Schizosaccharomyces pombe: one gene and its partners. The gene in region 2 interacts genetically with the main gene of each other region. Each region holds a gene or a part of one and is shown on either strand. Other genes may lie near its edges.

Region 1 (5,010 bases), 520 kb from region 2:
TACGATATTATTTTTAATATTCCTCCTAAATAAATAACATTAATTATGTTGCGCTTCTATACAACTATGCATACTATGTACATCACGCTTTCTCATCTGTAAACACTGAATTGAATACCATGGCTGTTAAGGCTTCTGTATCTGAAAATCGTAATGTATCATCAAAGTTCTCCTTCTTCCTGCACCAAATTGTATTCGATGCCCACGACGTCTCCTGTTCGTATCACCGCTCTGTTAATAACGCCCCAATCGGTTTGTAGATTGGAAACTGCCAACTTTGACTCACTACTGTCTATCGCTCCAAATTCTGCTTTTACTTCTCGTTGATCGTGGAGGTACACAGTGATCGGGATTCGCGCAGAAGCCATTTTTTGATAAAATTTTAGTGTTCGCATCCTCTGGATGTAAGCAGTAGACTTTTTATTATTTTCTGCCATTAGTGTGAAAATTTATCAACAAAAAGTAATCTTGAATTACAAAAAGTCTTCAAAGTAAAGATTATAACATATGCAGTATGTGCATGGTTTTAAACGGTTTGCGTCGTTATCGTATGTGAGAGTAAACTTTCTAGGCACGTAATGTAATACAGTTAAAACACATAAGAAACTAAGCTAACCATTACCTATAAAATAAAAAATAAACTTTTATAGATATTATGAGTCAACTCATGTTTTAAATACAATGGAAACTTTGAATGAGATTCGTATTTCCTTAGGAATTTATGCTTAGATAATTTATATAAAAAGTAAAAGCGTATCGAACGAAAGTAAACAATGATACAAACATACTTGTAATGATGAAAGTGAAAAGAAAAATGCGTTACCCTAAAATAATCCATTTCAAGATCCTTTCGTTTTACGAGTAAAGTGTTGATATTCATAATTAATCCAAATATTAGAAACTCCTTAATTTTTTGCTATTTTTTAAAAACTTTTCCATCGGTCATTAAGAAAGCACAAGAGTGCAATTATTCTGTAGCAGCAGCTCTATACCAACGAATACTTTTATCAGCACCTGCGACGATGAACCCATTTTTATACCATGCCACAGCCCAAATAGCTCCATCCGTTTCACTTTGTGTACTAATACATTCCATGGTGTCAATATCCCAGATTTTGATTTTTCCTTCAACATCAGCCGAAAGCAACAAATCACCTACGGGATTGAAAGCTACTGCAAAAATCCATGCAGCATGACCACGAAGTTGGCCGACTTGATCCCCTGATAAAACGTCGTAGATAGTAATCATTTTAGAATCCCCGGCAGCAGCTAAAAGTGTTGAACCAGGAGAGAACGCCACTGATCGTACAGGGGAAGTGTGGCCCGATAGTACATGAAACAAGCGTCCTGTTTCTGTACTTATAAGGAAAAGCTGCCCAGTTTGATGACCAGAAACGATAAATCTTCCATTGGGAGAATAGTCTATACAAAGACCGAATTTACCTTTGGTATCTAACTCGGAAATTTTGCAATCACTTGGATTGTCCCAGACAGCAATACGCCCGTCTACAGATGTGAAAGCAATCGTTTGTCCATCAGGGCTAATGCAAGAAGACCAGCATTCGCTGGGATGTTGAGCATTATTACCTAAATCATATTCGTTAGAGAAATGCATAGCTTCTTCGTAAAGTAATTCGTACCCAAGTCTCGAAATTCATTAGTTTCAGGATTCCAAACATAAACATCCTGTCCAAATCCGCAAGAAACGACGACGTTTTCATCCAAGCTAGTTGCTAGATGATGAACGCCAAGTTTATGAGGGGTATCTATTTCTTCAACTAAGCTATGCTCAGCATCACCTATAGACCATTTTTTTATTTTGGAATCCCCAGAAGCCGACCAAAGATTGCCTGCGACTACATTGAGAGAGTAAATGTCTGCTTGATGTGCATTTTCTTCTATATGGCTAACGAGATACTCTTTCCTCATAGTATCTAATAAATAAGGAAAATAATACAACAAAATTAGTAATTAAAATGCTGGCGCTTTCCAATACTTTATAATACTTAAACCTGTGACTAGCAGGACTTAGTTTACTGTGGTTGCGTTCTCCTTAGATATACACGGTCTATGCACATACCCTAAACATGTTAGTGAAAAGATGAATTTATAAGTATGAATGAAAGAAAATAATTCTTTTCTGTAGGTAGAAATGAGAAGGTGAGATTATTAGTTGTTAACCGTGACACTGAATTAAATTGTTTAAACTTTTGGCAATAGTAGGTTTTTCAAATTTGAACAATTCGAAGTTTGATCAAATAAAGATGAGCAGATATCAAATGTTAACATCCAGGAAATAAAAAGACCTGGCGCCCATAATTGTCGATTAATTTATATGATATAGATAACAGCAATTACTAAAATTTAAGATTACTTTTTTCCCTTTATCTTACTCGTCTAGTGTAGCAAGTCAAGAGAAACGATAAATAACGCTTCGTGATTCTTGCAATAGGTAAAGTAAATTTGAATAAATTATTTTAGTAGATAACCTAATCATTTCATTATGCAATTTGGAACAACTTGTTTATTCATACCATTTTTTTCGAATGACTTAAACACACTTACAAAACGATTTTTAAAAACGCCACAATTCAGAAGGGAAGAAAGACTATCTTTAATATTGATTTTTAAAAGATACTAAATAAAAAATAAACCAATTTTTAACACTGGAATATGGATGTTTACTCAAGTTCACATAGTGTTGTATTTATAACTTCTACTCCAATGTTTACAGATTTACCGAAATATAACGCGTTACATAAATAACTTTAACACATCGGAAATGGAGTCATCTGACATTAGTAAAAAATCACGCAGTTCTGTGTACAATAACGGCTTAAGTTAAGCACAAGGCTCTTGTTTCCTTTCTTAACACGCCACCTTTCCTCTTGTATATATTCAGAAATTTCCTGATTTCTTAATAATACGTGTTCTAATAAGCACATATTGTCGCTTAGTTACAGGTAAGTTATGAATGAAATGCATTGAGGCTGTAATTGTTGCAATTGGTATTTTAATGTCTCAAAACACTTCTTTAATACTGTTATGAGCTTTTTGTCGAAAATTGCTGGTCTTCTGCTTTCGTGGAAGAAAAGAGACAGAGTCTTTATAATTCATGCTGTTAATGACATTGGCTTGGTTTAAGACCACGATGGTGCTTTTTGTTTGTTTTTATACTAATTCAGCAATTTCGTCTCTTTATCCATTTTTTTCTTAAATTCTCTTTCTTCTTAAGCTAATAAACTTTGTTAGATTATTTCTTTACATACAAATTATAAACTATTCGTTTTACTGTTCCATTTGACGGCAATAACTCCGTCCTTCTTTATCTCTTTTTAATTCCAACCTCGCAACAATGAGTGTTGAAAAGGCCCCTGAACTGCGTGTTCTCTCGTTTAATTGTTGGGGATTGCGCTTTGTTTCCAAGTACCGTACTGAACGTTTGAAAGCTGTTGGCGAAAAACTTGCGAAGTGCGATTATGACATTGTTCTTCTTCAAGAAGTATGGTCGATTTACGATTTTCAGGAAATTCGTAACTTGGTGAGCTGCAATCTTGTCTATTCTAGGTTTTTCCATAGTGCTGCTATGGGTGCTGGACTTGCCATGTTTTCGAAGTTTCCTATCATTGAATCTTCTATGAACAAGTATCCACTTAATGGTCGTCCTCAAGCTTTTTGGAGAGGTGATTGGTATGTTGGAAAGGGTGTCGCTACAGCTAGTTTACAACATCCCTCTGGAAGGATCATCTCTTTGTTCAATACTCATTTGCATGCTCCATACGGTAAGGGTGCTGATACCTACTTGTGCCACCGTCTGTCACAAGCCTGGTATATCTCGAAATTGCTCCGTGCTGCTGTTCAACGTGGTCATATCGTAATCGCTGCTGGTGACTTCAACATTCAACCCCTTAGTGTTCCTCACGAAATCATTACCTCTTATGGTTTGGTCAATGATGCTTGGCTGTCTGTCTATCCTGACCAAGTTGAGCATCCACCTAACCGTTTCAGCATGAATGATAAGGAGTTGGTTGAAATTGCTGGTACTACTTGTGATTCCCGTCTCAACACTTGGCGTGAGAACATTTCTAGTAAGGATATGGATGACTTTGTGGCTAAACGTCTCGATTACGTTTTTCACTCTCCTTCCACTTGTGAGGCTAAAAATGCTAAAGTGGTATTTCTTGAACGTGTTCCCAAATTGGATTGCAGTTATTCTGATCACTTTGCAATCGAGACTGTTTTGTCTATAAAATTGCAACCAATACCAGTTCAAGAAACTCGTGTATCTTATTCCATCATTGATGATACTTTAGGAATTACATATCAATACATGGCTCGTGAACGTCTTCATATGAGACTTCGAATTGCTCATCTACTTATTTCTATTCCCTTAATTATAGGAGTACATGTTGCCATCGCATGGTGTGATCCCGCTTGGTTAAAGGTTATCATCCTTTTCTTCACGGTAATGCTTACCATCGCAGCAGTAGTCAATGGTTTCTGTATTGGATTGCTATTTGGTAGATGGGAGTTTAATGGTTTGCTTGAATTTGTTGCTGAACTTAAGGAACAGAAATTACTTTGCAAACAGTATCTTGTGGACCATCCGTTACCCTTTGCTAAATCATAAATTTACCGATTGCTGTTAATATGCCTTCTTTATCCCGCTTTATCCCACATTGTTAATTTAAAATTTCCCATCATTTTTATCTAAGCTTTTTATCACAGCTTTGCATGCTGAGGCTAGCGACTCCTAATTGTTTTTTTTTAATTATTTTTACAAACAACCTTTGATAATTTCTGTGTTATTTTTTTAAAGTTTGGTTTTGGTAATATTTGACTCAAACCAGTTGTTTTTCATTTAGGTATACTTATAAATGGTCATTGTTTTTAAACTCGTTGTCTTTGTAAACGCGTATTTACAAAAAGCGACTTCGGATTTAGAGGGATGAAATCAATATTATTTAAAGATTCTGTTCGTTTGGTGAACAGATTACTGTAATTACAAAT
Region 2 (8,021 bases):
TTTTTATTAGGCATATAAAAAGTAATAATGAAATACATTTTAAAAACTTGTAAAATCTGCAACATCGAATTGAGGACCCGTAAAACTAATGAGCTGACCCTTTTGCACTTTATTTACTTTGTACGTAGATGCCTGAAAATTCCAACTGCGGGTTACCAAATGCAAAATACAACATCAACATGCGTTGGGATCATTTAATAAACATTAATTAATAGCATAGTTGAATGCAATGATATTTACTAACATACATATGTTCCTTTGATCTATATGCAACATAGAAAACTGAGCACGCTCAAACTTTCAAATATTTTAAAAACAACTAGTCGAAGATGAAGGGAAGGTATAGTGTGTACTATGTTTCAATATATAAGGAAATTGAAGACGCAATTCTTAATCGCATTTTTTAATGCTTCTTTTTATGATAGGCGTAATATTTTAAAAAAAAAACCATCACTTATCTTTGACTCTATAAGACTAATCAAGTTAAGATCAGGATGGGCATTCCATTTTTCGTAGTACGGATTGAATAATTTAGTTAACAAGTTCAATACAACATTGGCGATACTGATCAAAACTTTATTATATAAGTTTATAAAAGCAGTGTTCAACGATTTAATGAATTATTCTACTACGCGTGATTTTTGCTTACACTAGGAAATAGCTTTTGTTTGGCAGCATCTACTAAGGTTCTCTCCTTGACTTCGTCAAATACGATATTAGGGTCTTTAGACGATCAGAACTTGGACGTTAACTTATTCGAAACACAAAAGAGTTCGCTGCTAATGTTAACGACTTTCTGCCAAGTTTCCATTCAGCAACTTATCATATTTTTCACAGAAGTCATTCCCTGATGTTGAATCATATATTATTATTGGTGATTTCGCTTGTTTGTGCTGCCTTAACCCTTTCTTGGTTTCCTCTACTTTTCAGGAAACAATCCTATTCATGTGCTAAAGGACTGATTGTGATAACAGGAGGAAGTGGGATTCTTGGTCATGCTATTATTCAAGAGGCGTTGGATAGAGGCTTCAGCGTCGCCTCTTTGGACAGTACTGAGCCTGCATCTTTTCTACAGTACAATTCTAAATTTAGTGCTTTGAAATGTAATATTACCAAAGATAAGGACGTAGAAGGATGTGTCCATTCTTTGAAAAAGATGAACAGGACCCCTTTTGCTCTGATCAATGCTGCAGCTATTGCTCCAAAAAATCATTTGCTGTCTATATCAAGACAAGAATTACAAAAGTAAGTACAGGTTAAGCGTAGTAAGCCTTATTTTCTAACTGCTTAATTTAGATGCTTTGAAACAAATGTGATCGGACAGCTGGCAATTACATCTGCATTATTTCCTCTCCTTTTACAAGATCCAAATCCTCATGTGGTCAACATAGCATCCTCCTTGGCTTATTTTAGTGCGATGGGAGTCGGTAAGTGGGGTTGATTTTATAAAATTTGCTTTTCCTTTCTAACGTGATTAACAGGTGCCTATTCATCTTCAAAAGCGGCACTAGTTTCGCTACATGAAACATTAGAGGAAGAGGTTTTATCACAGCATCCCAACTTCAAGTTTTCTCTTTATGTTTTAGGGCAAATTAAATCTACAATGTTCGAAAAAGATACCCCAAACAGAGTATTAGCCCCTCTACTAGAACCTCAAAACTTAGCAAAAATTATTATTCAAAACTTATATACAAACAAATCGGGTCGTTTTTACTATCCATTTTACGCACGTTTTATGCCTCTACTGAGGTTTTTCCCACTTCCAATACAAAAATTGGCTCGTCTATTTAGTGGCATGGATAAAATTTATTCATAATCCACCTACAAGTCAATGATAGCAAAGGTGCTCCCAATATGGACTTCTGCTGATGACTGGCTAATCCATAGGACTTCAGGAATTTCAACCTCATTCGTTTTGTTAGTTTGTAATAATATACGTTTTCGGATCGTTAATGAAGGTGTTGATAAGTTCAAGAATTTTACGAAATCTTGGCTGTATTTCCAAATAATGCATTCCTTTTGCGTAGCACTGACTCCAACAAAATAGTCACCAGAAGGACTGGCGGACAATACCTGAATATCACATTCGGCGTTTTCCTTGCTGACGACTTTCCTTCTTTTAGCTATTTCATAAACCACAAGATCACCATCGTCAATGTAGGAATATTTTTCCACCTTACTATCAAAACATGCAAATGGAAATTGGGTTGCAATTGCGTTAGTAACGTCGTGAACTTCTTCAACCGAGCGGCTAGAGTAAAGGATTGGAAGTAATTTTTCCGTGATCAATTGATTAAATAAAGAAAATTCGGATTGTGTGTTTTCAATTGCCAAAGACACAACTTTTAGTATAACGGAACGTAAATTTGATTTCATTTGCTCATAAACTTCATCGCATAAACATGTAAGCAGTAAAACAGCATTCGAAACTGAGACATCCACTATTGATCTATAGAGAATGCTATTTTTATCATCCAAATCCTTAGTATTCTCTAAGGATGACAAAACCAGGTTGTATATAAACTTTGCAGGATCAATATGTTTTGAAAACACGGAAAAACCATTACTCAACAGGCGAATTGCTGTTAAGTCATAGTCCATACTTTCGGATTTTTGTAATAAATAGGAAGACAAAAATTTCAATTGTGAAACATCAAATGCTGAAGGCCGTAAACTGACAATTAATGACAAGATGTACAGTGAATGTTGCACCTCCTTTTTCAGATAGTACTCTCCACCTGTAGTCGTAAAAAACTCAAAATAATAATATATAAGCCTCTGAAGTTCCTCTGGAGATATAAGTTCCAATGTTCTCGACAACATTGATTTAATTATACCCTGCATAACCTTGCCTGAATTATTCCAGACGTATGAAAGAACGGAAATACTGTAATCAACCGTTTTCAGGTCTTTTAACTTTAATAATATTCCTTCAGTCAATTTGGTATCGCTCAGCCCATCATATTTACATAAAGGAACCATTAGAGAAAAATATAGATATAACAGCAAAGCGGAACAATTTGGTGCAGTATTTATTATTGACTTCATTTCGGTGTCAAATCGAAGTATGGCATTTCCATCTGGCTTACCCACACCAAGATGCAAACTGGATTGATCAAAAACAGTACCTAACAACTGATGCTCCATCTCTATATCAGAGTTTAGGAAAGGAGGTTGGATAAAGTCAAGGAACTCGTCAATATACGTTTTTTCTATGTAATTTTCATTAGAAAAATTGAGGTTCAGTACTAAATCATGAGCGTCTAAAAAAACAGTAACCAAATTATCGGTGAGTAAAGCACAAGAACCATGATACAAAGTAGGGAGGTTAGATTTATCAAAAGTACCAATAGATATGAACGAAGAGTCAATAATATCTGAATAATTTCCTTCAGAACATTTTTGATCCACAACGTCCCAATTTAATAGTTGAAAATTGTCATAAGCAACATAGATTTGATCTAAATCGGGAAATGAGTACAAAGTTTCAACTTGAGCACCATCAGATGGCAAGTAGCTTAGACTATAAAAGTCGATTAATAACTGATAACACACTGATAACTTACAGATTATAAGATTCATCCAAGGCACACAATGAGCCATCTAAACTCATAAAAATAAATAAGCCTGATGAACCAGAAGATAATGATTTCTTTGCATGAATAATTTTAGTAATTGAAGAAGATTGCAAAGCACGCTCGCAGAGAAATCTCCATCTTTCACCCTGAAGTTGTTGATAAAAGTAAGCCTTTCCAGTTTTGGTAGCAACAACTAAAATTGAGCGTGAATGTTCAGTTTCAAATATTTTCATATATGTTACAATTCCAGAAACCCTTGTAAAAGAGTAAAGAGGAGCTGGATCATTGTGAAGGTACCAGTCAAACAAAGAAAACATCACTAAACCAGAGGTTGTTCCAAGGAATAAATTAAGAGAGTCCGTATAAGCGTAGGAAACAGCAGCTGTATTGCTCAACTTACAAAGATTGCATGAGTCTACGGTTCCTTCTGTTAACCAATTGAAAGTTATTTTTTCGGGATAAACACACAAACTAACGGGTTTACTTTTTAAAATGGTGCACGATTTCCATGGAAAATCTCCAGAATACTTAGAAATTAATTCGAAATGAGGTTCAGGAGATTGATGAAGTTTGAGTAAAGTTGAAGACGAAAGAGTAAAAATACAAGCCGTGCCATCAGCCAAAACAAATACAGATGTTATCTCTGCAAGTGAATATGAAGCTATAAATTTCTCATGCGATTCCAATAGTACTACCGCATCCGAGTATACATATAGCGCATAATTGGAAGAAATGCAATCTGCTGGTACAACATCAATAACCTTACCAAAAGTTGGTTTAACATCTGCTTTTGTAACTGAATTTCTTTTAAAAGTAAGAGCTGACCAATCAACTGACCAAAGAGATACAGATCCATCTGAATAGGCGACAGGGATTAATAAAGCTTCGTCTTTGAACGGAAACAAAATAGGCCAGTCCTCATGACCAGTCCAAGTCGCAACTATCTGAAAGTTGGAGATTCTAATGAGATATATTTTCAAAAAGGTTCCGGTAACAGCAAGAAAGTTGTTATTTAATCTAAATAGCTTTAAACATAGCCCGTCACACAATTGCAAAGTAGCTCGTCGGTCACATGTTTTCAGTAGCCATTGACAAAGTAATCTGAGAAAATGTTAGCAAGAAATAAGTTAAATAATGAATTTGATAATTGCTGCTCGGCTAATGAGAGTTGCTCAACATACCCAGATTCGTCGAGTGTAATGATTGATAGGTCTACAATTCCATCAGCTTCAAATGGAAGGCAAACTATAGAAGAAACGGAATGTTTGTGTGCTATAAATGTTTGGATCAAAGTGAAATGATTGTCTGTAGAAACGTCAAATACCATGACTTGGCCGGAACATTGGCCTACTATCAAATACTGATCAAAACAATGTATTGAAGACACGTCAAGGCCTTCATCTAACAAATGAGTTTTACAGCTTTTCGACAATGCAACCCAATCCATTTTGATTCGCAATCAACAACGGTCTAAGGCTGACATCAATTTTGAACGCTGTTCGAACACGGCTTCCCAAATAACCACTCAATTCAGTAATTGTTAAACCTTTTTAAATATAAAAGTAATTGAAAACGCAGAAAATGAAATTAAAACAATATTTAGGCAGACTAACAGTTGCCGCGATATTCTTGAATGTAAAATTAGCAAATTCGGAACGCAAACGAATAAACAAGATGCAACAAGTATTTGAGGAAGAGAATCTAAGAAAAATGAAGAACTTGCAACAGCCATAGACAAGAATGTCTAACAAATAGCCATGTAAACAATTCGTCCATCCGTCATTTAATAGAATGTATGCATCGACAGCTCCGATTGTATCAATCATTACATAAATCTCTTCATTCTTGAATTATATACAACTTACACTTCTCCAAAATTTATACCACTGCACACAACTTCGAATTCCACTCGGTGGTGGGAATGTGCTGCTGTGCTACTTGAAGCACGCGAATACTATATGACCTAGTTGATGGGGCGATGCCCTTGCTTCCAAATCTTGACAATACTTAGTAGTAAGAATACAGCGTACAAACGAGTTTAAGTTATAGTAAACGAGCATTATTTAATAACACAAAAGAGTATTGTTGTACATAGAAAAAAACCGAAAAAATTGCTAACAGTCTTATTTTATTCAATTTGCCAAATAAACAGAACATTTACATACTTCAAATGTTGTAAATTTCGCACTGCAACTAGTATTCAAATCTCAACCTGGAAAAACGATATAACGAAATTGAAATATACTTCAGACTGTAGCATCATCTACTGTACACGAGGCAAACTTAAGTCATAGTATGTGTAAAATAAGTTAACAATTCCATTCCAAAGCTGCAACATTTAACATATACCCTAATAAACTCTGCCGTCCCGATTACCGAGCTTTCTCAAGAATTTTGTAATCCTTCATTGAAGCACCTTTTTTTTTCATATTTATATATAAATATATATATTAATATATACTAAATTTTATTTTTATTTTTATTTTTTGTGGAGTTTTATACTACAGAAATACAATTGTCACGTTAAAAATTTCAAAAACTATCTATTAACTGCTGCTTTTTGTGTATTTATATATTTAATTTACTTTACTTCGTTTGTGGTGGATCTAAGTTATAACATTACGAAGCAACATTCTCTTATTGTAGTAGGAAGTAGTACAGTGCCGAAACTGAGGCATCATCACAAAACCCTTACTCAACACCATTTACTGTTTTATCCGTTTCATTAGATTTTTACGATATAATGAGCGTGGATGTAAGTATAGATCTAATGAATCTTTGCAAAAATTTTAAACTAATTACATAAAAGACGGCTAAAAGTGATATTCAAGCGGAACCTTCAACTGGGACGCTGGAAAATAAATCCTCTAAAACGTACTCAGATTCCGAGAATAATTCCACGTTGGATGTTTCAGCTCAAGTACTCACATTGGATAATAAATCCAGGATCTTATGTATTGCCGATGTTCGAGGTAAGTATGCGTTGTTTATGGATTTAGAGCTGCCAGCGAGAATTCAAAAGCACCCCATCGGGGGAATTATCGACGATCGTTTTACTTTTTAAGATAAGAAGATGCGAATTTGTATGCTTTTGCATGAACTTATCCATAATGGCTTAGCAGGAGTTGAAGCGCAATTGCTCAATTTACTCATTTTGTCATTAAAGATCCTCGTTGGTTCGTAAAAGAATTTTGTCCATACACTTTATTCTCCTTAGCTATTCCTATCCTTAAAATTACTACTCTTTAATACGCGTTTTTACTAATAACTATCCCTTCAGGTGAACTGAGTTTAATAAATAGCCTGGTTGAGGAAACCAATGCCTCCTGTGTCATCCACACTGGTGACTTTGGATTTTTTGAGCGATCCTCACTTCCTAGCATATCTGAACGGTATGTTTTGTGTCAAAAATTTTTATGTTTCATTTTTCTTTGTTCTAACCTTTTTTCAGTACTCTTCGTCACATTGTCCAATTCTCGCCTCTCATAAAAAAGCTTCCTAGGTCCAAAAACTTTGATTATTATCCCTCGAATCCAATTGGGGATTTGAAGAATAGTATTGCTTCTCACCCCGATTGCCTGCTTTCAGAATTACCTCAATTTTTGTCACAAGAGAAGAAATTCTCAGTCCCTGTATATGTAGTATGGGGAGCTTGCGAAGATGTGCACGTTTTGGAAAAATTTCGTTCTGGAGAATATTCTATTCCAAACCTTAACATAGTGGACGAACTTCATTCCTACCTATTGCAAATTGGAGATATGAAAATCCGTTTACTTGGTCTTGGAGGTCCTTATGTCCCTTTTAAGCTTTTTGACAATGGAGACGGTAAAGGAACTATTGCTGGTGGCCAGGGTACTATGTGGACTACAATCCTTCAAATGGGTGAACTAATAGAAACCGCTAAGAGCCTGCTTGACAGAGAGGAGGCACGTATTTTTATTACGCATCATCCCATTGGAAGAGAAGGTGTTCTTTCTCAATTAGCTACTGCTTGCCAGGCTGACCTGACTTTATCCGCCGGTCTTCATTTTCGTTATGGAGCTAGCTACAATGAGTTTTGCGTAAATCATAGTCCTGAACATTATCTTCAAAAACTTTCGGCTGCCCGTGCACAGTTTATGGAAGTGTATGACACTGTTAAGGCTGAGGTTGAGAAGATGGTTACCCCTGAACAACATCATCTAATAAACAATGTTGTTCGCCTAGTCTCTCGCATGCCCGATGCAACTAACTCATATGCTATGAATAACATGCTTCCCGGCACTGCTTTTAAAAACCTATGGAACTTCAATTTATTAGATGCTTCCTTTGGATGGACTGTTTTTGTCGTCGAAAATGGGCATGTTCAAGTGGAAAGCAAATCTCATGGCTTTAATTTAGGCTATCGTCGCATGGCTTCACGTCGTAACGAAAATTATGCATCTCACATTCCACGCTCAACTT
Region 3 (4,571 bases), on a different chromosome or scaffold from region 2:
CCTAAGGCTAAAGTTGTTAAAGCATTGCGTGGTGGGCAAACTACATTTCATGGTCCTGGTCAAATACTTGCATATCCTATTATTGATTTGAAGTCCTTTGGATTAAGTCCACGTGAATATGTGTCAAGGCTAGAGCAAGCGATTATAGCAACATGTAAAAGCTTTGGCATCGAAAAAGCTCATACAACAAAAAACACCGGTGTGTGGGTAACAGAAAACGATAAAATTGCAGCAATTGGTATTCATTTACGCCGAAATATTACTAGTCATGGTCTTGCGCTCAATGTTAGTACGGATCTTAAGTATTTCAATTACATTGTGGGTTGCGGATTATATGGAAAAAACACTACCAGTTTTAAAGACCAAGGAGTTTTTACTGACTTAAAGTCTGTAGAGAAGGTACTGGTAAATAACCTTGATAGCTTTTTAATGAGTAAATAAATTTAAATGTATTAGAAACAGTATTACTTATAAAAAATATAATGCAATAACAGTAATGCTATTCTTGCGATAATTTGGTTTATTAAAAATTTTTTCAGTAAATTTGCGGGCTTTCCTTCCTTTTGGCCCCTATAAAATAGCTTATCAGCAACCATAAAAGATACAATAAATAAAACATAACATTAATAACAGTGACTATTTGTTTTTGAAATTGCACGAAAGATTAAAGTTAAACTACTTTGCAACTAAAGGGTTAAACGGAAAGAGATTTCCAAAATGAAAGTGTTGAACAACAGGATATTTGCTCAGCACTTCCACATCGTACATTTTTATCAATCCCTTGAAAGTAATTAGCTTAATAAATACACACTTCTTAACATACCTGATTGACCTTTGACCATATAGGAACAGCGGTTATATCATACAATATTGGGGAATGTTCGTAAAATGGGCCCTTTTTCATCACGTTTATAAACTTGATAGCACTAAAATACAAGTTGCTATTAGCTTTTTCATCCACTATTTTTTTGTTAAGTATAGCATCAGGCTTTATGATGGAAGATGATGCCTTATCAGCAAGTTGGGCAGAACCAAAAATATAAGGAATAAAAAAATGATCATCAAGCCCCCAAACTCCATGTGAGCCAGCAGGCTCTAAGCGATAAGTTTGAACGAGCTCACGACAAACTTCCAAGTAAACATGGGTTATGTACAAGGCGATAGCTTTATAATCTGCGGCATCTAAAAGTCCCAGCAAGTCCAAGCCCTTAATAAAACCCAAAAAATTTAACTCATGACCCGTACCAAAGTCAATTCTTTGAGAATTACCAAACGATCCCAAAAAATAGTCCAGTAACTCCACTTTTGCCTTACTCAATGAATCAGGAATAATGATGTCCATAATTTGAGAGGCGGAGTCACGTAGCTTTTCGTGCCATATTCGAAAAGCAGGATTACCAAACCGATGCCGACCTGATGCAGGTGGTACAGTTTTAGTAATTTCTTTAACTCTACACAATATTCGTACTAACTTTTCAACTCTTGTTGAGTATTCCACATGATAATCGTTCACACCCACAGATGCAATATTGAGACGCTGTAAAAAATCAAAAATTCGATAATATGCTTTCGATTGTCGAAACGCCGTCATATCGCTCGCCTCCACGATTAGTTTTTCGGGAGTTTTAAACTGTGAACTTTCATCAAACCTTTCATTTTCAAGCTCTAGTATTGTTTTCTCATCTACGACTTGCATTGTAAAGCAATAAACAATGAATCAATCAAGTTCGCGTATACGCCAATAGATTTACGACACTCACTAAGTTACAGGCTTTGATGAACGACTCTTTATTAAAAAAAACCAGGACCAAGTTAAAGAATATAACAGCAACTATAACAGCATTTAAAAACAGCTTGATATTGCTTTCATCAAGATAGAGTATAATAGCAGTATTCGAGAAGAAGCATTTAGCTTATTCAATAACTTGATTAAGATTAGTTTAACGATAATTAGTACTATGGATGTGATTATATCCTAAAATCTTTATAGTGATGTATCCATATGTTAATTCGAACCACTTCATAACAATACGCTACCGAAATAATTATCTCCTAATCAATATTTAACGATATGTTTATTCAATACAATCGATGCAAGAAACGAATATAATAATTTCAACCAGTTTTTACCAAACTGAAAAACAAATGGGGAGAAGCAGCAAAGATAAGGTATGTCTCGTGCGTTACTGAAACCTTGTAAATACTTAACTTTGTAGCGAAAAGTTTACGTTAATTTTATCGAAGTTATATCGTATATTAATGTGTAAACTTTAATGTTTCTCAGTCGCATATAGAAACATTTTAGTTTATTATTTCATTTTTTTTTTATTGCTAAATAATTATTTAACTATTTATTTTGTTAAAATACTAACTTTACACTTTTTTAGAGAGATGCCTATTATCGTCTGGCGAAGGAACAAGGGTGGAGAGCCCGCTCAGCTTTCAAATTGCTCCAATTAAACGAACAGTTCAATTTATTTGAAGGAGCAAAAAGAGTTGTAGACTTATGTGCTGCACCGGGGTCTTGGTCTCAAGTTTTGTCTCGTGAGTTACTCAAAAACATTGATACTTCCATTGCCGCAGATGAGAAACCTATGATTGTTGCTGTTGATCTTCAACCCATGGCACCAATCGATGGGGTATGCACCCTGCAATTAGACATTACTCATCCCAACACCCTTTCAATTATTTTGTCTCACTTTGGTAATGAACCGGCTGATCTCGTAGTTAGTGATGGTGCCCCAGATGTTACTGGTTTGCACGACCTAGATGAATATATTCAAGCACAGATATTGTTAGCTGCATTTAATTTAGCGGTTTGTGTTTTAAAGCCTGGTGGGAAATTTGTTGCAAAAATTTTTCGTGGACGAGATGTTTCACTGTTATACTCTCAGCTTCGTTTGATGTTTCGAAAAGTTTCTTGTGCTAAACCAAGAAGCTCTCGTGCTAGCTCTATCGAGTCCTTTGTCGTTTGTGAAGATTTTAACCCCCCTTCTAATTTTCAACCCGATTTAACAAAACCTTTATGTGTAATCGATCCAACCAATGCTCATGAGATTGCACCATTTATTGCATGTGGTGACCTTGATGGTTATGATGCGGACGCTACTTATCCCGTTGAAATAAATATGAAAAAGGCTACCTTAGACGTTATACAACCTCCAACCGCTCCTCCTTATAAACGAGCTATCGAATTGAAGCATAGCAAGATGATGTCGTAACCTATTATTCCAATTGTCTCTTTTTTATTTAATCTTTTCTTTCGTTTAATTTAGCAGTGGGTTTTACTATTGTATATTATATAGGTATAATCTATTTTTGAACCTATCATTCTTTTTTCATAAAAAAATTAAAGAAAGCAGGATGTGTTCGGTATACTTATAATCAGAATTTCCTCTTATGAATTTTTATCTAAATCAATTACTTTTGATACACACATGCTTTCGTTGAAAGACTTGCTAGTCATGTTTAACTTTATACCTTGCTATAGCAAATCATGGGGTTATGATTATAATTGTCATGTGGATATCATTTTCATAACTATAAGAGAGGCAACTAGTACTACTCATAGCACGGCCAACAGATACGAGTTCGGTAAATTTCATGGCGTTCTTATGAACCCATAGTATCATGAGGTGTAAGACATAAACAAACTTGGTAAACTATTCATCAATAATGATTTTTTCTTCCAAATTTGCAAAGTTTTGAAAAAATGAAGAGAATAAGACGACTGCATACTCAAAGTCCTTGGAGCCACACATTTCACGGCAAGAGTGCATAGAAAGCATAGGATTTCCTAAATCGAGTGTACGCATTCCTGTCATGGCAGCAAGTTTGGGACCAATAGTGCTTCCACAAGGAGAATCATTTCGCACCACGAATGACTGAATTGGCACATCGGCGAGTTGAGCTACTTTCTTTAAAAGGACTATGCCTGCGGAATTAGTCGTATAACGCTGATTCGCATTAACTTTAATTACAGTTCCTTTGTTCAAAAATGGGGTATTCGAATTTTCATAGCGAGATGAGTAATTGGGATGCATGGCATGAGCCATGTCAGCAGAAACTAGAAAACTTTTTACCATGGAAATTGAAAACAAAGAACTTTCTTTCCCCAGCTCGCATATTCTTTGGAGAACAGCTGGTAAAAACGTGCTTTCAGCACCTTGAGCTGACACGGAACCGATTTCCTCGTGGTCAAAGGAGGGAACAACTCTAACGCAACTTTCATTATCAAGGGAGTTATTTTCCAATGATTTAGTTAAAGCTTGAGATGCGCAAAATGTCATTCCAAGGTTATCGAGACGAGGTGAGAATACAAACTCTTCGTGAATTCCGCCAAGGCGAGCCTTTTCAGCATCACCTAGAATCAACTCAAAATCCACAATTTTGGAAGGATCTATAGTTGTCTCTAATGATTTAGATATTTCATTCGCAAGTAAAGAAAGCAAAACAGGATGGTGATATTTGTCACCATTATCAGAGGTTTCTTCCTTCGCAAGTTCATTTTCCAATCCAATAAGCGGAACAAATTCTGTTTCCATATTGAATGAAAAAGAAGAATTGGCAGA

The links.
Region 1: mutations in wdr7 (region 2) and rec14 together harm fitness more than expected from each alone (negative genetic interaction), as found in Schizosaccharomyces pombe (2 studies listed by BioGRID).
Region 3: mutations in wdr7 (region 2) and ypa1 together harm fitness more than expected from each alone (negative genetic interaction), as found in Schizosaccharomyces pombe (2 studies listed by BioGRID).

What each region holds. Positions count from the first base shown.
Region 1 is NC_003423.3:2,783,897-2,788,906, reverse strand, and holds rec14 (Ski complex WD repeat subunit Ski8), read right to left. Parts: upstream 2,013-5,010; 5' UTR 1,930-2,012; coding exon 1,641-1,929; exon of another isoform or gene 1,588-1,640; coding exon 968-1,587; 3' UTR 501-967; downstream 1-500. Other genes in the region: protein Gem7, read right to left, coding at 162-437; inositol phosphosphingolipid phospholipase C Css1, read left to right, coding at 3,356-4,630. UniProt on the Schizosaccharomyces pombe protein: Required for formation of the rec12-mediated double-strand breaks (DSBs) that initiate meiotic recombination.
Region 2 is NC_003423.3:2,267,752-2,275,772, forward strand, and holds wdr7 (WDR7-like protein), read right to left. Parts: upstream 5,502-8,021; 5' UTR 5,444-5,501; intron 5,207-5,443; 5' UTR 5,026-5,206; coding exon 4,760-5,025; intron 4,680-4,759; coding exon 3,567-4,679; exon of another isoform or gene 3,524-3,566; coding exon 1,822-3,523; 3' UTR 1,817-1,821; downstream 1-1,816. Other genes in the region: SPOM_SPBC16H5.14C (DHRS family dehydrogenase), read left to right, coding at 851-1,245, 1,297-1,427, 1,482-1,816; SPOM_SPBC16H5.12C (uncharacterized protein), read left to right, coding at 6,322-6,333, 6,388-6,550, 6,859-6,970, 7,030-8,021.
Region 3 is NC_003424.3:4,833,520-4,838,090, reverse strand, and holds ypa1 (type 2A protein phosphatase regulator), read right to left. Parts: upstream 1,897-4,571; 5' UTR 1,697-1,896; coding exon 824-1,696; exon of another isoform or gene 781-823; coding exon 676-780; 3' UTR 501-675; downstream 1-500. Other genes in the region: lip2 (lipoate-protein ligase), read left to right, coding at 1-441; trm7 (tRNA 2'-O-ribose methyltransferase), read left to right, coding at 2,146-2,169, 2,388-3,221; aspartyl metalloaminopeptidase Ape4, read right to left, coding at 3,663-4,571. UniProt on the Schizosaccharomyces pombe protein: PPIases accelerate the folding of proteins. It catalyzes the cis-trans isomerization of proline imidic peptide bonds in oligopeptides.